3 linked regions of the Schizosaccharomyces pombe genome follow. The protein of the gene in region 1 binds, or shares a complex with, the protein of each later gene. Each region holds a gene or a part of one and is shown in the gene's direction. Other genes may lie near its edges.

The links. The genes of interacting proteins can lie anywhere in the genome.
Region 2: tim44 (region 1) and mge1 share a complex: the UniProt entries of both Schizosaccharomyces pombe proteins name them as parts of the PAM complex.
Region 3: tim44 (region 1) and tim16 share a complex: the UniProt entries of both Schizosaccharomyces pombe proteins name them as parts of the PAM complex.

Annotation. Positions count from the first base shown.
Region 1 is NC_003423.3:2,203,530-2,207,925, forward strand, and holds tim44 (TIM23 translocase complex subunit Tim44), read left to right. Parts: upstream 1-1,933; 5' UTR 1,934-2,024; coding exon 2,025-3,308; 3' UTR 3,309-3,844; downstream 3,845-4,396. Other genes in the region: securin cut2, read right to left, coding at 1-677; methionine aminopeptidase Fma2, read left to right, coding at 4,203-4,396. UniProt on the Schizosaccharomyces pombe protein: Essential component of the PAM complex, a complex required for the translocation of transit peptide-containing proteins from the inner membrane into the mitochondrial matrix in an ATP-dependent manner.
Region 2 is NC_003423.3:4,020,662-4,024,328, forward strand, and holds mge1 (GrpE domain-containing chaperone mge1), read left to right. Parts: upstream 1-1,855; 5' UTR 1,856-1,885; coding exon 1,886-2,557; 3' UTR 2,558-3,111; downstream 3,112-3,667. Other genes in the region: Fe-sulfur protein Isa2, read left to right, coding at 1-93, 163-334; vma7 (V-type ATPase V1 subunit F), read right to left, coding at 541-767, 826-961. UniProt on the Schizosaccharomyces pombe protein: Essential component of the PAM complex, a complex required for the translocation of transit peptide-containing proteins from the inner membrane into the mitochondrial matrix in an ATP-dependent manner.
Region 3 is NC_003423.3:884,720-888,203, forward strand, and holds tim16 (TIM23 translocase complex subunit Tim16), read left to right. Parts: upstream 1-1,773; 5' UTR 1,774-1,896; coding exon 1,897-1,945; exon of another isoform or gene 1,946-2,010; coding exon 2,011-2,348; 3' UTR 2,349-2,928; downstream 2,929-3,484. Other genes in the region: SPOM_SPBC713.09 (uncharacterized protein), read left to right, coding at 240-281, 323-1,468; plasma membrane proteolipid Pmp3, read right to left, coding at 3,280-3,423. UniProt on the Schizosaccharomyces pombe protein: Essential component of the PAM complex, a complex required for the translocation of transit peptide-containing proteins from the inner membrane into the mitochondrial matrix in an ATP-dependent manner.

The DNA of each region.
Region 1 (4,396 bases):
ACAGAAGGCTTTTCGAGAACCTTTCTTTGTTGATCAGAAGCTTTCAAGGTAGCGGGTGTTGTCAGGTTAGTATCCTTTTCTGTTAACGGGGAGTCACCGTCTACGCTGAGCAGAGGAAATTGTATAGGATCATCATCACTGAACTCCTTGTAAACATGGAAATCTGATGCAGGTGTATTACGAATAGTTACTGAGGTAGCCTTATTCTGCATGCTAGGCCAAGGATCGAGCGTTTCACAATCAATTGCAACGTCGTCAAACCCCAGGGATTGAATGGGGTCCAAATGAACAGGAGGAGGCATATATTCGATATCTTCTTCAAGTTCATTTGGTAAAGGAGTGTCTGTTAAAGAGGAACGACGAGGGCTAGCCGAAAGTCGCTTCGACCGCTCTTGTACGGCTGATCGGGAAATTCCTTGTGAGTTTGGCTCCAAAATAGTAGGGGAATCCATCGAAATATCCATAGGAGACATTTTCTTTGTACTGGGAGCAGAAATAAATTTGGAAATGTTAGTACTCTTACCTCCCAGTACCGTTCTAGGAACCGTTACAGAAGAAGGTGCATTCGACTGCTTTGTAGACCCCAATGGTGCTCTTTTGGAGCCCGCTCCTTTTGTACCATTTCTGTTTGATATGGGAGTTACAGGAAAAGCGTTTTCTTTTCCATATGAAAACATGGTTCTTGGCAACATCGTTGTCTATAGTCCAAGGCTGGTTTATTATTTCACAGGTGACATTCAATTGTGACCTGCACAATTTAAAATAGTAAACAAAGCGATAATTTGAAGAAATATGATCACCTTTTAAATTTTTACTTTTACAAATGCATAATAAATTGTTTTGTTTTGTTTTTGAATTGCTTAATTGGATTGAAGATGATTTATGATATTCAGGTTGCTTTTATCGTCTAGTGTTCAAGATGGAAAACCAGTTCTTCATGAAACAAATAATTTTACATTCCAACTATACTATGTTGTAATCATTCTGAATCATTATCAGAAAAGTTGGAAGTGTATTACAACTGATCATTTCGTATAAACTTGATGTTGAATGAATCTAAGCTTTTAAAGCTAGATCTGTCTGCCAAAATTGATCAGTTATGACTTTAAGTATCCCATTTCGTTATTGAAGCTGAAAATTTACAACCTGTGATAAATAATATAGGAGCTTCAACAACTGTTTTCATAAAAAATCATGAAACACATTAATCATCAGAAAAATTCGAGGTTTACTACAACTTAAATGCGCCTTTTGAATTCTGTATAAACCAGCTACTTCCTTATTTTCAAATAAATTTCATCAAAGAAACTTAGGGGCACAACAAACGTCGCATGTTATTAGAAAGAATTACATACAAACATTCTATCAAACTGATAAAAAAAAAAAAAAAGATACAAAATTAAGAGATCTTTAAATTTTTCTAGATTTGAAAAATCTCTACAAATGAATAAACGAAACTTCAAAATGCTAATTAATACTATTGCTTTTATCTCCAAAACCCGCTACATACTCAAATTATCCAGTTCTATATAACGCATTGTAATATATCTATGCTGCTTATTGAATACTTTTTTTCATAACTTCATACGATCTCTTACCACCCACATGGTATCGATTCCCAACAATATTGTAAGCAACAGCTACGACTGTTTCAACCAATACGAAAGGAAATTGATCGGTACTCTTATTCTTTAATATATTAGGATCATGCGTAATTTATGCTTCCCTCTATATCAATATTTTAATAGTTGCATTTCAGATAAAATGAGCGAATTCGTAAAAATTCTAATCGTAAACTCCTCTTAGTAAAGTAAAAAAGTCCAAATATAAGAGAATATGCTAACTTTTGTTAACAAAAGACTACTTCTCGATATTTAGGATTAAGGTATCTTTCCACCTTTGTGGCACTTGAACCTTCCATCCACCACTCACTAGGCTGCTATATCGGTTTGCAATAAAAGGCAGCAAAGTGGATTAATTTTCGCGTAATAGCGTTGAGATTTATTTATTCAATAGGAAAGAAAATGTTTCTATCAAGAAAAATCACAAAAAATGCCCGCACAATAGTTCAATGCCAGCGGTTTTTCCAAACGTCTATATTCTCTCAAAATGCAGCACCTCAATCGCCAATCAAGGTGTTCATGGATACATTTAGAGCAGAATTAAAGAAGAGCCAGGAATTACAGGACAGTGTCAAAGCATTGCAAGATAGTTCAGGATCATTAAGTGAAAGCGACACTTTCAAAAAAGCGAGAGATGCTTACGAAAAAGCGCGCTCGGGAACTACTGCAGCTTCATCTTTCACAGGAAAAACTGTTGGCAAAGCTGGTGCCAAGATTGGCTCATATGCCCAAAAAGCTTGGGAAAGTGCTCCTGTACAATTATCAAAAAAGGTCATTTCAAGCACCGCTAATACTGTAGCTACTGGTGTTGACACTGCCACAAAACCCGTACGTGAAACTGCATTTTATAAAACAATTAAGCAAACAATGTCTGATGGTAGCACCTCTTCACGTTATGGATTTTATGCTGACAAGGAACAACGTAAAAAATTGCGTGAAGAATTTGAACGTCGAAACAGAATGTTTGCTAGCTCGGCAAGGATTCAGCCTAACGAAGACGTCCAAAGCGTCGTCGTACATAGCAACCCGTCGTGGAAGAATAAGGTTGAGCAAATAAAAAACGAATCGCGTTTAGTTCGTAAAATTCAAGAGCTTAAAAAAAGTTATCAGGAGTCTGAACATCCTATTGTCTCCTCCATTCGTGACATGGCCGACAGTATTAGTGGCGTTTGGTCTCGAATGTTTTCAGAAACTGAAGCATCGCAGGTTATGCGACGCTTTAAAGAGATTGACCCATCCTTTAATACCGAGCATTTCCTTCAATATTTAAGAGAATATATTGTCCCGGAAGTTACCGAGGCATATGTTAAAGGAGACAAAGAAGTGTTGAAGACTTGGCTTTCGGAAGCCCCCTTTTCCGTATATGAAACTACTACCAAGGAATATGCGAAACATGGAGTTGTTAGTGTTGGTAAAATCCTTGACATTCGTGGCGTCGACATCATGTCTCAAAGACTTTTACAGCCAAATGATATTCCCGTTTTTATCGTCACTTTTCGTACTCAAGAGGTCCATATGTTTAAAGATGCTAGCAGTGGCGAATTAGTTGCAGGAAAGGATGATCGTATTCAACAATGTACTTATGCTTCTGTCTTTACACGTGTAGAAGACGAGCTTGATAATCCGGAGACAAGAGGTTGGCGTATCGTTGATTTCGCACGTGCACGAGCCGTTGATTATTTCTAAATGCGAAAATATTCCAAACATTTGTCTTTCTATCGGCTTCTAATTTTAACATGTAAACATTTTTTTTGGAATCAGATTTTTTCTTCCTGCATAGCATATTTCGTTTGGGTTATATTTCTCTGTCACTCATATGATTAATTACTATTTAATATTTCAAAAGTTTTGTCAAGTTTGGAAATAACTCTTGGATTTCCTGGACTATGTCCACCATCATCTACTTAAGAAGACCGCTGATATTCCCTAATGATCGATCTTCTTTTTTTTTTTGTTTCTTTTTGATGACAAGTCTAAGCTTGTCATTCTTTTTTTTATCACATTTTTCGTTTGTCTACTTTGAAAAGTCTTTAATGTAGTAGAAGATTTTATTAATTTAAAATCTTTTATTTAACTCGGGTTTTGCGGGATGGGTTTAAGAATTGAGGTTTTGCTATCTTTTTCTTAAAGGATACGCGTGTTTAATACTTTTTCAACAATCGTATTTTAGGACGCGTGCATTTTTTAGCTCAATATCATAATCACTTTAACATGTTTTATAATATTTCCAATAGTTTTGGATTAAATAGTGCAAGAAATATTTTAAATTGGGAAAAATTTGGAACATTTATATTAACAAATAGATGTAGAGAATTTGACCTTTCATAAATTAATAAACGGTTGGTTTTAAAATTAAAATGGATACTTGTTGCTTGATATCCGACTCATTATCCCTTTTTAAACCTTTAATTAAGTAAATCTCAATCCTTTTGTTTGTATATTATAATCTCCTAAAATTGAGGCATAGGTTGCCATGACTACTGGTTTTTGGTGGTAGCACTGTTGTAACCTGTGGAGGTACATATACTCAACTTCCTCCTATATCAGATTTGTTTAGACAGGATTTAACAATCTTAAACAATGACTTCTGCGACAACTACTGAAGCTACCGCTAAAGATTTACAGGAGAAGCTTTCGCTGAAAGAGAACGACGTGGTTGAAGATGATGGAAAAGTAGAGGAAAATGATGCCGCTGAAGAAGGAGCCAGCAATGGAGAAAAGAAGAAAAAAAAGAAAAAAAAGTCTTCTAAAAAGAAAAAGACCCCTCAAGAACA
Region 2 (3,667 bases), 1.8 Mb from region 1:
AAACTCTGTTTTGCGCGTCACTGTCGATGGTGGTGGATGCCATGGATATCAAGTATCTTTTCGCATGGACAACAAAATTGGAAATGCTGACACGTAAGTGATGTGGTTAAGAAGACTATAAGTTTTAATTAAGTATTTCCTGGTTATTGACTAAATATCTAGGGTATTTGTGCGTGGAAAAGCCAGGGTTGTTGCTGACAACATTTCATTACCTTTGATAAGTGGCTCTGAAATTGAGTATACAAATGAACTTATTGGTTCCTCTTTTCAACTTTTAAACAATCCACGTGCCAAGACTTCTTGTGGTTGTAATGTCAGTTTTGATGTTGAATGAGATTTATACTTAAAATAATACATTTCTCTTATAATCACTTTTCTATTTATCAAATATAGTTTAACAAAAACTCTGCTTACAATTTTTTGCTAGTATGCCAGTAAGTAAACCAAAAGATACAAATATAAAAGTGTCATCAGTCAAATCGATCGAGTTGTTGACTAATTGAAATTATTGCTCAAAAAATATAATTAAATATTAATAGTCTATTCTCCAATGATCTTTCTAACACGACGGAGGATACTGTCCTTTTCAGGATCATAAGGATCGTCTTTGCTAGGAATTTCCAATACAGCAGGGAATGCCTGCACATGGTTTTCAATACGATCACGTATTCTTTCAGCGGCAAACTGGTTAATCAATACAATCGCAATATCCTTCCTTTTCGTAGTATAATCATCAAAAGCTTCAGCAATCTGCTCATCTGTAGTCTCTACATAAAACAGCAAGTTAGCGAAAACACGATTCCATTTTTTAACAGATAATCTTACTCTGAGTAATTATAAAAAAGTTTTTGTCACCGTTTTCATTTACCTGACCAGTTCCAGCTAAAAGCATCCCAGTAACGGTATCATCGTCTCCAATTACAGAAACAAGTGTCCGTTCTCGATATGATTGTGAAGACATGATTTAGAGAGATAAGTATTTAGAAAATCTAGGTAAACGTCCAAGCAGGAAAATAGGAGAGTATGGTGCTACTTGAAAGCGCAACTTCTGGACTAGTAGGCGATTAAAAGTGTTCAGTGGTTGAATCGTAAATTTTCACAAAGCTTAGATAAATATTTAACAGAAAGCTATGGCTCTGCCTCTACAATCCTCAAATGTATTCCTGAGTTTAAGTAGTGATGGTGGATGAAAGTGTAAGGTCCAATACCGATAAGACATATCTGACACTTAACTAAGGTACCTTTTATTATGAAGACTTCTGTAATTAAGAATATGATATTATTATAATAGGAATTTGTGAAAATTCGACTCCCATAAATTGTTCAACAAATATCATTATGCAAATAAACTGATGAATGTAAAAATAATAAGATGGCCCAGATGACACAAATAGGATTATTTTAAAACTTAAATTATAATATTCAATTATTTTACTTTCAAAGGCTGCGAAGTAAGTACTTCGATATAATCCAATGCCGTAAAGCATACCAAGAAGGATATAAATATAGATGAGAAATCAGTTAATTATTATCTGTTGAGAATGAAGCTGAAAAGAATAAATTAATAATTGATAAGCATATGAGCCGTTGTTGGCTTCCAGTGTTGAGCAAATTCGAAATTTGGGTTGCTTTCCTACATGCATGTTCAAACCTACAATCAATTTGTTACATATCGAAATAGAAGCTTTAATTTGAGAAAAAAGTGTCATTTATATATTTTTTGAATCAGCTTCCATCTCAAAGTCCATACCTCATTTAACGAAACATAACGAATTTTTAAGTTGATGAAATTGATATTTGTAAAATTTAACAGTGCTAAGTTCACAACACCATTTGTCTATAGTGTGACACAGTTGTCTTTTACCACAAAGCTCTCACTGAAACAATGCTTGGGCTTGGAAGAGTATTTTCATCCGCTGTACGTCCTCGGACGCTTATTCGAGCACCCATTAATAAACGCAGTTTCCTTTGGTACTCAACTGAGGCTGCTAAGGAAGAAAAGCCTGCTGAAGAAAAAGTTGCCGAAACAGAGAATGTTGATGTTAAGGAACTTCAATCTAAGCTTTCTGAGCTTAAAAGTAAATATGAAGCAAAGGACAAAGAGGTTGCGGAGTTAAAGGGTAGCATTCGCCAAAGCTTAGCTGACTATCGTAATTTGGAAAACCGCATGAAGAGAGACATGGAGCAAACACGTGCATTTGCTGTTCAAAAGCTTACTAAGGATCTTTTGGATTCTGTCGATAATTTGGAGCGTGCTCTTTCAATTGTTCCAGAGGAGAAGCGTAACAATCGTGAGTCCAACAAGGATTTAGTTGATCTTTATGAAGGTTTAGCAATGACTGAATCGAACTTAATGAAAACCTTAGGAAAATATGGTTTAGTTCGCTATGACGGTATCGGAGAAGATTTTGATCCTAACATCCATGAAGCTGTTTTCCAAATCCCTGTTGAAGGTAAAAAGCCCAACACTGTCTTCCATTGCGAAAGCAAGGGTTTTCAATTGAATGGAAGAGTTATTCGTCCTGCCAAGGTTGGTGTTGTTAAGGGAGACGACTAGAGGAGCTAGTCAAAGATGATAGCAAGGAGCATACGAATACGTCGTTTCACCTATATTATTTTAATGACCAATTCGGGGTTTTTTTTTATTTTTAAACTCTCAATGTTTGTCTGGAAAGTCCTTTGTGGTATTATTGGATTTTTTCAGTCTTTTCAGGGGAACCAGAAGTCTTTCTGTGCAGATGCTTTTTTCTGCAAACTAATAGTCAAAGACAGATCGTAAAAAGTTTCATTGCATTTTTTGGGCTATGGGTACATTATTATATTTTTACCGAGGGGACTTGAATCCAATGTTTTTGTGTGGTTTGGGTTTATTGTTTAGTGATTTGCTATCACAACATAGTACCTATTTTTACTTACATTTATAAATAAAATTTTTACTCTTTAATACTATAGCTTTCACCCAAACTGGTTAAAGAATTTTGATATTTCCTTCTAAAGATTACTCAAAAGCATTTCTTTAAGAGTTAAAAGTGGAACCAAGTGGAAGGTATGTATTCTATCATTTAGTTTTATAGAATATTAAAGTTCCGAAAGTTGATATGTGCTTTAACGGTTAAGCCTCCTTTTCAAGTATTCGTAGAAGTTAAGCTAGTGTTCTGTATTACAAATTAGTAAGGAATTTTGACTAGTTTAGATGATTTTTTTGTTTTTTATAAAATAGATATGTAATAACAAACTTGCTAATAAAGTATTGATTGGAAGCAGCTAGCCTGTTCGAACTAAGCCATAGTATAAGACATTACTCAATCAGCCTAATCTAATAGATAGATATTCAAAGTTACAAATGATAAGCATGAGATCGTTTGTGGGTGATCCCGTTGCTTTTAACTTTATTAAGAATCTAGTCAATGAATAGTTTTTAATCCAGCACTGATATCGTCAGAATTGCATATTCGAGAGATATATTCATTTTTTCCAGCTCAGTAATTACACTATTACTAAATAAACTCACTTCTTAGCGATACACTACCGCAAGGGTTTACGTCTTTATTTAGATCAAGAAATGGTGCCTTGCATACTACTCGAACGTGGTGTAAAATTTACCCTTACACAATAAGTGTTGCTTGGCAACACGTTTTGCTTTCTTTCCTTCTATAGAGTTTTCAAT
Region 3 (3,484 bases), 1.3 Mb from region 1:
AATCAGCGTAATAAAATATACCTATACTCTCTAGCGTATAAAAAATATGAATCCATTTTTTTAAGTTTTTCATTCATCAAATATATATTATATTTATGTTTCTACTTTATTTAGTATGCTTGGTTATCCGTGGACTTGTTAAGCCTCACGCAAACTTTCCCTACTTACCTATACTTTACTGATTCTGCCCACACTACAACTCCCTGTTGATTTATTTTCATCTTGTATCAAATTTGAAGATGTCAGATCGTGAAGAAAAGCTAGCTGCAGCTAAACAAAGGGTATGCATAATATTTTGTAACATTTAACTTACGAGTGCTAGTTGCTGGAGGTCAAGAAGAAAAAACGCCAAGCTAAATCTAAAAATTCAGTTGCCGAAGATAATGTTGACCGCGAATCTAATGATGGCAATAATCAAGTAAATGAGCCTACAGGCAATGACAATACTCAAGTAGTTGAAAACACTGAGGATATTTCTGCTTCGAATGTAGTTTCAGCTGAAGGTGCTGAGGCATCCACCGGCGATGCTTCTACTCAGTCTCCGGAAACATCTGAAAATGTCGTTAAAAATTCTGTAGATGAGTCGGTTGCGGAGAAGCCTGAGAAGGAGGATTTAGCGGTAATAGAAAGTGAGGATAAAGCAGCCAAGCCTGATGGTGAAATAAAAAAGAACGTTGAAACAGAGGTCACTTCTCGAAGTACAAGCAGTCAAGAAAAAGATGAACTAGAAAAACAAGTAAAAACCCTGCATGATCTTAATGAACAAAAGGATAAGAAAATCAAAGAATTAAAAGAACGCATTAACGACTTAACTTATGATTATGAAACATTAAAAGCTAATGCGGATGACAGTGAAGGAAAGCAGACACTCGTATCCAAAAGAGAAGCCGCTCTTGAGGAATTCCAGTCAAAACTGTTAATCAGAGAGAATGAGATTAATAAAAGAGAACTGAAGATGAATGGAAAAGAAGATGATCTTAAAAAACGTGAAAAGGACCTTGAAAATCGTCTATTAAAGGTTGAAGAACATGAGAAAAGTTTAAATGAACGTGCCACGAAACTCAGTGAAGCTAACGAGAATTTCAATAATCGTTTCAAGGAGTTTGAGGAGCGTGAAAAATCCGCGATAAAGCAAAATAAAGAACAAAGCTCTGAAGGCTCTAAAACTGCTAACCAAACTCATGAACAAAAGGAGTTGATCAACTCATTGGAAAAAAAGGTTTCGGACATTGCTTTAGAAAAGCAACTTTTGGAAGAAGCTGTTGAACGTTATAAACTAGCGATGGTTGAGTTTGCGGAATGTCAAAGAAGGCTGAAGGAACTTGAAGCGATGCATTTTGAACAGCCTGGCTCCGTGACCGAGAAACTTTTTCCAGATCCTACTAACTTTGAGGTAATCGATAACGTTTCAATTGACTTGACATTGACTGGATTTCCCGGTGCTCACGGCATTCCTTTTTCAGTATGAAGTTAAAGCTTTAATATGATATTTATTATTAAGTCACTATGTTTAAGCTCCATTACCATACTGTTTCAGCGAGTATAAGAAGCCCTAATGAATAAGATGATTTGAATTTACAATCAGTTTACATGATCTTTGAATTGTGACGAGTAGTAAAACAAAGTAAAGAATATAAAGCAAATTCATAATATATTAATATTTTTTTGTCTAAAATAGTGAACTTTATGCTTCTTATTATTAAATCAAGGTTGTAATTTGGAAGTAGTATTAGATTCTTTGATATGAAATCTGCCTTATAAGGAATTTTTACCACCACCCTTTTTACAAGAAAATTTGTGAAAATTCCTGTTTAGGGCATGTGTATGTCTGAAAATAAAATAAAGGAAGACATTTATCATAATTATTTGTTCAAAATTACTATATTACATTAAAAAATGTCGCTTCCAAGGGCTGTCGGTCGATTTATAATTGTTGGTTCGCAAGGTATGTTTGTGGCCATTCTCCTATCAAGGATTTATTCAAAAGATTAAAAACCCTAACAATATTAGTAATGAGCAAAGCTTTTGTACAAGCTTATAAGCAAATGATTGCTAATGCAGCTCAACAAAGTACTGGTCAAGCTGCTGCTTCCAAATCATCAACTGCTGTTCGTCGAGGTGAAATGACTATTCAAGAAGCTGGTAGCATTTTAAACATTAAGCCAGAATCATTAGAAGAAGGAGAGTTAGAAAAACGATTTCAAAAAATGTTTGAGATTAATGATCCTAAAAAAGGAGGATCTTTTTACCTCCAGAGCAAAGTGTTCCGAGCTCATGAAAAATTGAAAAGTGAACTGGATCAAAAAATACAAGAACAATCCCCAGCGAAACCAACCAGTTCACCTTAAAACTTTCTTTGATTTTGGGTTGCTAGCTATTGCTACGTATTTACCGACACGTCTACCTTAATTTAATGTAAAATGGAATCTATCTTTTTTTTTTTTTTAAGAAAAAAAGAAGCAATGGGATATATTTTTGTTTACGAATAGTTGAAGAAATGTGAGGAGGTTGATATCCTCATATTTTTTTGAATATGCCCTGTACTATGATAAAAGGAAAATTAACACTAGTCTAGCTATCCACATACCCTCAATGCCGTTAAACCAGAGCCATATATTGTCAATGTGATGAGAGATGTACATTGATATGGATTGACTTCAAACGAGAGCCTGAGGTTAAGCCAAAACTTACTTTTCGACTTTTAACTGTCGCTGGCCAATCCTTAAAGTTAGACTGGGCTGCGGGCACCATGAAGAGATCAATAATCTAATCTATTCCCAGATATCAATCATTACACACTACTATTGAAATACATTTTGGTTACAAATAATGAATAAGACACAAAAAAAAGAACCGTTAAACTAATATATTTAAAGAATATAAGTTCCAGTTGAGCAAATGATAAAACATTCTTTTATGTAAAACAAGAAGACTATTGGGCTATAGCAAAAAGTATACGGTAAAATCATTCGCCCAATTATGGATAAAAAAAGATATCATGGTTAAGCACAGTCGATTTTGGGAAAGGAAAAAAAAATGAGTGCAAACAACCGTGATACTATTTTGAACTTTTTTCTTAGTAAAGAAAATCCGTTTTTTTGTTTACTAATACAAAAGCCATGATATCCTCACAACATTTGGTATTAAATGAAGCGAATAATAAATTCCTAGAACAGACAAGAGAAGAAGCAAAGAATACACATGTCTATTTCACTTTCCTTTATAAACATGATAAGTAGCGAAAAGAACAAATATTAGAGGATTGAAATAGAGGGATGCTTAGTATTTTAAGATGATATAGAGAGCGTGAATAATACCGGGAACGTAACCAAGACAACAAAGAAGAATGTTGATAATAACGTCAGCACCACAGCCACGTTCCAAGAAAACGCCCAAGGGAGGGAGAATAATGGCGAAAATTACCTGTGTCATATATTAGCATTGAGTCAAAAAGAAGCGAAATTTTTTTTTTATAATACCAAAA